Coturnix japonica: one gene and its partner. The protein of the gene in region 1 binds, or shares a complex with, the protein of each later gene. Links are inferred from orthologs where the notes say so. Each region holds a gene or a part of one and is shown in the gene's direction. Other genes may lie near its edges.

The links.
Region 2: the proteins of MYO3B (region 1) and ESPN are in contact, whole or in part, in a crystal structure (PDB 5ET1), measured with the Mus musculus proteins. The link is inferred for Coturnix japonica from reciprocal best matches to the Homo sapiens genes MYO3B and ESPN. Residues at the interface, in XP_017174528.1 of Mus musculus: Arg1223, Arg1224, Gln1226, Gln1227, Pro1228, Lys1229, Met1230, Leu1231, Ser1232, Ser1233, Asp1236, Thr1237, Met1238, Tyr1239, Tyr1240, Asn1241, Gln1242, Leu1243; in NP_997570.1 of Mus musculus: Leu35, Ala37, His41, Arg45, Ala67, Asn69, Ala71, His75, Asp76, Ala79, Thr80, Asp101, Ser103, Leu110, Arg113, Phe114, Thr135, Thr137, Ala139, His143, Tyr144, Ala147, Thr169, Asn171, Tyr177, Leu178, Gln181, Ala203, Asp205, Met207.

What each region holds. Positions count from the first base shown.
Region 1 is NC_029522.1:16,467,635-16,471,440, forward strand, and holds part of MYO3B (myosin-IIIb), read left to right. Parts: intron 1-45; coding exon 46-162; intron 163-976; coding exon 977-1,081; intron 1,082-1,201; coding exon 1,202-1,285; intron 1,286-1,974; coding exon 1,975-2,177; intron 2,178-2,559; coding exon 2,560-2,658; intron 2,659-3,243; coding exon 3,244-3,358; intron 3,359-3,739; coding exon 3,740-3,806.
Region 2 is NC_029536.1:489,259-493,694, reverse strand, and holds the start of ESPN (espin), read left to right. Parts: upstream 1-1,581; coding exon 1,582-1,875; intron 1,876-2,991; coding exon 2,992-3,185; intron 3,186-4,436. Other genes in the region: HES2 (transcription factor HES-2), read right to left, coding at 1-263, 367-1,013, 1,535-1,583. UniProt on the Homo sapiens protein: Multifunctional actin-bundling protein. Plays a major role in regulating the organization, dimension, dynamics and signaling capacities of the actin filament-rich microvilli in the mechanosensory and chemosensory cells.

The sequences.
Region 1 (3,806 bases):
TGGGAAAATAATGCTTAACAATCAAATTTTTTCTAATCTTCTCAGGATACAATTATTCATCAGCTGCAGAAACGCTATGCTGACTTACAAATTTATACATATGTTGGAGATATTTTGATAGCCTTAAACCCTTTCCAGAATCTCAGCATTTACTCTCCACAGGTAAGATAGACTTGAAGGTGTGTACAGTACTTGCTTTATATTTTGTATTAGTGCTACTGGCTAAAATACTCACATGATGGGAGTGCAGTTTAAACCTCAGTCTTTTATTCTTCCAAAAAACTGTGTCTACAAATTGTTTTCTATTTTTACTTTCACTTTAGTCTAGTTTGATTTAATTGCTTTCTGCTTGGTGACACAAATTCCACAGAAGTGCTAAGATTGCCCCAGCCACAGCTGTTCCTCTTGTCTGGCATTTAGGGCTTTCTTCTGGGAAACAGAAGATAGTTATACGATCTGCCTCACGCTGAGTTTGTTGCTTTCTAAACAATTGCTCTGACTGGTTCTTACATGTCCTGTGCCATCAGTTGTGGCTTAAAAAAAAAAAAAAAAAAAAAAAAGTGAATTCAATGGTGTAAAAATAGAGACAACTTAATTCTCTATGAATATGAAGAGTGGTGGAGCCATAAATCTTAGTCTCCTTGGGTATCTAACTCGGGGCTGCAGGCAGAGGAACCAGATTCCAGCTTCACTTTTTTCTTTGCAGTTTCTTTGGTAAAATTTTCCTGCCTAAACGGTTTGGAATTCTGTTATTGTGATACAGGTCTTCTCACCATGCTGTAAAAGAAATACTGAAAAGCATTTCAAAATTGCCAGTGCCAAGAATTACCACTCTTCAGTCAGAATTTTGCAATAGAACAGACAAATACCTACCATGTGGGTTAGCAGGCAGAAGATACTCACTATTCTTCTTTTCAGATCTTAACTGTAGAGTTCACTTCTGTATTTTTACTGTTGTGTTTTTTTCTTAATCCAGTTCTCCAAGCTTTACCATGGTATGAAGCGCTCATCCAATCCCCCTCACATATTTGCCTCTGCAGATGCTGCCTACCAAAGTATGGTGACGTTCAGCAAAGATCAGGTAAAACTATTAATTTTGTTTTAGATTTCACATTAATCATAGTGCCACTTTGCTACAGATGTAGCTTATGTTCTGTTATGTTGTTGAACTGTACACTTACTGCTTTGTTTGTATGTTCAGTGCATTATCATCAGTGGGGAAAGTGGCGCTGGAAAGACAGAAAGTGCCCATTTGATCGTCCAGCATTTGACCTTCTTGGGAAAGGTATTTCTAGCAATAATGTAAAACAATGAATTCTCCCCACTCCCTAGCACTTCTCCTTTATTAAATGTTTAATATTAAAAATTGTTCTTGTTAATTAATCCACTTGAGGCAGGGGAAGAGTATTTATAAGCACTGAATCATTGCCATTAGAGTATTACCTGCACCAAGCTATTTCAGTGTAGGACAAAGTGACAAATTCCAAATGATCAGTGCCTGTAGTTATCTGCAGTGTTAATAATCTATAACATTGTTAATCTGTACAATAAAATATAACAGGTCTTGCTTTGGCTCTGATCTTGGAAGCTCTTATGTTTTTAAATGTTAATGAGTAACGCTACTACTACAAAATAGTGTGAAAATCATGTGTGTAAGTTTAACAAATATATGTATTAGTATGATTGTTGTCTTAGGTAATATTCTTTTTTTTCAGGTGGCTTAGTTGCCTTAATTAAATTATATGAAGCTTTAGAGATAAAACAATTGCAAAGAAGGAAAAATATGATTTTCCTTACCTGTAGGTGATTTTCCCTTCAGCGTATGGCCTTACTGTATAGATGGGAAGGTTAATGGAGTATCTAACTCTGTAAGAATGAGATAATGGGATACTATACTTCTTAAGCAGAAATTGGATTGTGAGTAGGCAATATATTCTTATAATGGTCATTCTGATTTATATTTGTTCTGTCAAGGCCAATAACCGTGCTTTGCGTGAGAAAATTCTTCAGGTGAATCCTCTGGTTGAAGCATTTGGGAATGCCTGCACTGCCATCAATGACAACTCAAGTCGCTTTGGAAAATATCTGGAAATGATGTTTACACCCACAGGAGCTGTAATGGGTGCAAAGATTTCTGAGTATCTACTTGAAAAGTCAAGGGTTATAAAACAGGCTGTGTACGTTCACTAATCATCTGTCCTTTCTCATTTTTGTAATGTTATTTACTGTTTAATTCTCTAAAAACTCTTATTTAAGTGCTTCCAATAGTGTGTCCTGCTGAAGCAATAATCCTTTGTACAGTAACATTAATGACAAGAATAGTTTGGTTCTTTTGGAACAAAAGCCAGATCTATTCTATTTTCTTTTGAGAAATAATGTGGTTATCTGGATTTTCTGTTTTACAGCTGAAATAGTTATCTTTGGTCTTCCACTATTATTGGCCCTGATCATTTGCTCCATGTCTCAATGAGATTGTGATAAAGACTTTTCCTTTTACCTTGTACAAGATACTGCAAGTATAAACACATGTGCTTTACAGACGTGCTTTGTTGTTTCTAGGGGAGAGAAAAATTTCCATATATTTTATTATATTTATGCTGGCCTTTATCATCAGAAGAAACTTTCTGAATATAGGCTTCCTGAAAAAAAGCCTCCTAGGTAACTATCAGTCACATGTTTTAACCACTGATTCTAATTATCTATTGATCAGCTCTTGCTTTCAGCACGATGTCTTTGAAGACAGACTTGAGTCTGTCATAATCCTTCTGTATCCCTTAAGGAAATAATAAATAAATAAATGGTGGACAATAATGAATTACAGTATTTACATTAAAACCTGGAACCATTTAAGGAGAAAGAAGAAATATTCTCATTACTATATATGTATTTTGTCATACATTCAGATCAAGACAGTCACTCTGTGCTCCAAATATGTTTTTAAGTTGTGCTTTTAGTTGGTATTTGTACCTAGAGAGGAACTGATCTATATGATTCTACATTGGGTGAGAGCACGTAGGTAAAATGTTAGTAACACTATGAACAGATTATTAACAAAGAATTAGCAAAAGTGACTGCAACAGAAACAAAAATGTCTTAAATATTTAATTTTTTAAAAAATTCAAAATTTAAATTTAAATTATTTTAATAATAAACATTTCATTTTGTTTCTCTGGATGTAGTTACATTATAGTCACTGTTGGTTGTACTTATCACCTACTTAGTGCTTTCTTTCACTCTGTTTAGATACATTGATAATGAAACTGGAAGAGTAATGCATGACATTGTTACTAAGGATTCCTATGGAAGACAATTTGAAGCAATTCAGCATTGCTTTAGAATTATAGGATTCACTGATGAGGTAAGATATCCAGTTGCTAAACCATTACTGACCTTACAGAAAACAGCCTCCAGTGCTGCTTGTGCTTAGGCTGCCACTTGGCTGCATGAATACACAGCATGCCGCAGAATCTCTTATAACAGAAATGAATTATGAAAGTAAAACCACACACATGGAAGCCAGGACCAGTCAGAGGTCTCAGTTTGTAGTTAGGCAAGTCCATTTACATTTCTATAGGATCCTTTTTCTGTGTAAATAGGATTTTCCTTTAATTAGAACTTGGTCTTAGGACAATCTACAAACTTTTATCACCATCTGATGCTCACCTTTTTCTTTCATAAACTAAGTTTGATGTACATATTTAATTGGATTCCTTGAGAGTGCTTTTTGTCATTTTTACAGGAAGTGTACTCAGTGTACAGAATTCTGACTGGTATCTTAAATACTGGAAACATTGAGTTTGCTGCCA
Region 2 (4,436 bases), on another chromosome or scaffold:
AGGTGGGCGGTGGAGGCTCCGGGACGCAGCTGCGGGCGGGGGGCGGCGGCGTGGGGGGGCCAACAGAGCACCCAGGCGGGCCCGGCACGGAAGCTCTCGGTGGGCTCTGAGGAGAGACGGCCGTGAGCACCGGGCCGGGCCGCGGCGGGTGGGGGCTGGTTGGGGGCCTCACCTGGTGCCGAGGGAGCAGCTGGAACCTCCGTCAGGAACCGCACGGTCATCTCCAGGATGTCCGCCTTCTCCAGCTTGAAGCAGCGGGAGCTCTATGAGGGGCGGTGGTGGGCAACGGGCACCGGGAAGGGGGGATGGACGGGGCGGGCTGAGGGAAGGCAGGGACGGGACGCAGGGCCGGGCCGCGGCACTCACAGCCTTGCAGACGAGCGGCAGGATGAGCGTTTTGAGCTGGTTGAGGCTCTCGTCGATGCGGACACGGCGGCGTTTCTCCAGGAGGGACTTGAGGAGAAGAGGCCGTGGGGGCGGCCCGGCATCACGGAGCTGGTTCTCGTGCAGACCGGAGCTCACCTTGCGCAGCTCGGCGGGGACATCGCGCTCCGGAACCGCCAACGCCTTTATGAGCCGCCGGGCCGCCCCGCCTCCGGGCCCCGTGCGGAAAGGAGAGCGGGGTGGTGGGGCAGGGACGGGCGGGTGGGCAGGTAAGGGGGCAGGGCGTGCAGGTAGGGGGGCAGGGCGTGCAGGTAGGGGGGCCGGCAGGGCAGAGGGGCGGGCGGAGGGTGGCCCGGCCCCGCCGCTGTCCGCCGTGCTGCCGCCGCCGCCGCTGTCCGCGGTGCTGACGGAGCGGGGCCGGGCGGGGCGGGGGGTCTCGGCCCTTTCCCGGTGAGCGCCGTCGGTCCCACCGGCTCCCGCCCCCGCTGCCGTTGCTGGGAGAAAGGAGCGCTGCAGAACGAGTGGGGACCGCCGGGAGCGGGGGCACAGCGGGGTCCTCACCCTGCGGACACCCCACGCCCCCCCCCGGGCAGTGACGGGCAGGTCCCGGTCCCGTTGACGCCTCTTTCCTTCAGCAGAAGCGCGGACCCGGACTCGTGACTCCCGTTACGCGCACTGAAAATCTGAAAGCAACTTTCTGGTCCCGAGGGCTTCAAACCGGGGCTGAAACGCACCTGCCGCAGGTGCTGCACCAAAGGCTGCTGAGGGGCACGGCGGCCGTTCCCGGTTCCCGCAGGCCGCCCGAATCCCGCAGCACCCCGCACAGAAGCGCGGAGCCCCGCAGCCCCGCTCAGGGCACTCGGAGCAGTTCAGCCTGTGCCATGTGTCTCCGTGGGTCTCATCCCAGGATGCCGCGAAGTCTCAGGGGTACCGGCGGCCCCCGAGCCCCGAGCGAGGCGGCTCTGCGCCAAGGGAACGGGCACGGGGCGGCGGGTGGTTCGCCGTACCCCGACGGCCGGGCTCCCGTAGGGGCAACGCGGCGCGGGGCGGCGTGGGCGGGGGTGGGGGGGCGGCGGGGCGGGCCGGACCCGGGGGAGGAGGAGGAGCCGGTGGGGCCGGGCCGAGGCTCCGCGGGAGCGCCGCGCAGTGCCAAGCGGCGGCCGGACGGCCCGGCGCGGCCGGTCCGGGGCCGGGGCCATGGCGCTGGAACGGGCGCTGCAGGCGGCGCGGCAGGGAGACGTGGAGGCGCTGCGGGGGCTGCGGGCGGCGGGGCTGCTCCGGCCGGGGCTGCGGGACGCGCTCGGAGCCTCTCCCGCTCATCACGCCGCCCGCGCCGGCCGCCTCGCCTGTCTCCGGTACCTGGCGGCCGAGGCCGCCCTCCGCGGCGACGCGCGGGCTCGCAACGGGGCCACGCCGGCCCACGACGCCGCCGCCACCGGCAACCTCGCCTGTCTCCAGTGGCTGCTCACGCAGGGGGGCTGCGGCGTGCAGGTGCGAGCGGCCGCGGGCCGGGGAGGGGGCGCGGGGCTCGACGGGGCGGGCTCGGAGGGAGCGCGGGACGGGCGGCGGGGCCGGGGGGGCGGGACGGCTGCCCCCGCCCCTGCGGCACCTCCGGCCCCGGGGAGGATCCCGGCGGGGCACCGGAGAGCCCGGAGGCGTTTCGACGCGGCCCGGAGACCGCCACGGTTCGCTGCGAAGCTCGGGCCAGAGCGGAGCCGCCCGCTCAGCTACCGCGGTCCCCAGCGGGGCAGAAGCCCGTGCCGAGGGGCAGCGGGGGTCCCCTGAGCCGCGGGGCAGAGCGGAGATCGGCGCCCCGAAGGGCGATCGCGGAGCCGGGGCTCCACAGTCGGGGTCCGGCGGGGGAAGCAGCGTTTCGGCCGCGTGGGTCCGCGTGAAGGGTCTGTCCACGGCGTCAAGGTCACGCACAGATTCTGCCGGGAGCGGACAGACACGCGCGGCCTCCGCGCTGCTCGACGGAGAACGGCCCGGACCCGTGCGGGGGTGGGAGCTGAGCTGCCTGAATGGCGCTCGGGACCGCAGATCCGCCACACGCGGGACGAAGCCACGCAGGCCCGCGAGGAGGGGACGGAGGCTGGGGTGGGTGTCCGGGCGCTGTGACCCGGGGGCACCGGCACCTTGTCGGGCTTATACAACCAGAGCGAGCCCCGGGGCAGATAAGCAGCTTGCCCCGGGCTGGCTGAGAGGGAACAACATGTGACGTGGAGGAGGAGGAGGGGTGGCAGAGGTGATTAAGCAGGAAGGAAGGACGGGTTCCGCACGGTTCGGCGCAGTCCTGGCCCGAGGCCAGCTCAGCTTCGTGCCCCGCGGAGCGAAGGGAGCAGCGGGGCCGGGGCAGCGCTGACCCCGCGGCAGAACAAGCGGGGCTTTGTGCGGCGCCGGGCTGGTAAAACGCTGCTGGGGCCCACGGGAACCTGGCACGTTTATGGCACCGCGATCCTCTGCCGTCCTTCCAGGCCCATCCTCTCGTACCCGCGGGGCTGCCCGTACCTCCACTCCTCCAGCTCGGCCCCCCGCCCCACGCGCTCTCCCTCGCTGGAGGTGCAGAACTGTCCCGGGTCCCAATGGCGTCTCCCCTCCCTCCCGCAGGACGCAGACAACTCCGGTGCCACTATCCTACATCTCGCAGCCCGATTCGGTCACCACGAGGTGATCGAGTGGCTCCTCCGCTTCGGAGGCAGCGACCCCACGGCAGCCACAGACACGGGAGCGCTGCCGGTCCACTACGCTGCGGCCAAAGGGGATTTCGCTTCCCTGCGACTTCTCTTAGGACACTGCCCAAGGTAACGGCCCCTGCTGCCCTCGGGGGGCTCGGGGCAGAGTCCAGAGCTCGGCAGTGCGGGGAGGATTCAAGCTTTGGGGGAGCGGGGCGCCCGCTGCCACCTCCCCCCACCTCGGCTGCTGGGCAGGGGCCAGCGCTGAGGGCCGGCCGCATCCATTCCCTGCTGCACAGCTCCAAGGGCAACGCGGCAGCGTTATCACCTGGGCGCACAGCTGCGCTTTATCACCCGCAGATTAAGAGCGAGGAGAAGCGCAACGAGCGCTGACAGAAATATTGCCCACGGAGCCGGGTTTGTTCCCAGCGCTCGTGGCACGGGGCGATAACACAGCCGCCTTTGTCCACCTCCATTATGTAAATGGATTTGGCTGCCCGAGGAGGAGAGGCGACCTTTCCCGCTGCCTCCAGGAGCGCAGGGCCGGACCCCACGGCTGCGCATCGCCACGGCCCCGCACGGTGCCCTCACCCCCCGGTGCAGCCCTTCCCGTGTGCCTGGGATGCAGCGCGGCACCCCGTGCTGAGCCGCCCCGGGCTCGCGATGCGATTACACGGCGCTAATCTCATTTCCCACGGTGGGCAGAGGGTCTATAAATAACAGGGGCCCTGGCTGGGGGGGCACAGGGACGTGCCTCCCTGCCACACCACGCTGGGCAGGCTCAGGGACACGAGAGACCTGCTCGAGCTGCCCCAGCTCCACTCTCACCTTCCCCATGTGCCCACAGAGCCCCCAGCAGCACTTCCCCACCTGCAGGCAGCTCCCCAAGTAAGGCTGCGCTGCCCTTTGTCTCCTGCACCATTGGGGGCACCTGTGCTGCCCCGTGCCCAGATAAGTTAACCCTTCCCACCCCAGGCCCTGTTCCCTCACAGCCCTGTGTCGTCTCCTGCAGAGCTCCCTTGGCAGCAACCCTTTCACACTGAGTTTCACGTTCCTGTTGGGGTTAATCTGCTGCCAGCTGCCTTCCCCTGCCGAGGTGGCCCCTGAATTATTTACTGCTCGCCCTGTGCCTCGGAGGAGGCTTTGTTACAGCTGTGAAATTCAATCCTGGGGTGCCGTGGGATCTGCACGTACATCGGGTGGGTGCGTGCCGGGCTCTGCAGCACCACTGGGGGGGGTTTGGGGTGTTCCCAGCACTGCCATGGGCAGCTTGTGACTCCCATCCTACTGCAGCTTGGCCACCCGCAGGTCCCCAGCAGCTGGTCCCAAAGCAGGCAGCAGCGCGGGGTCGTGGCCATCTGGCACAGCACTCCCTGGCTG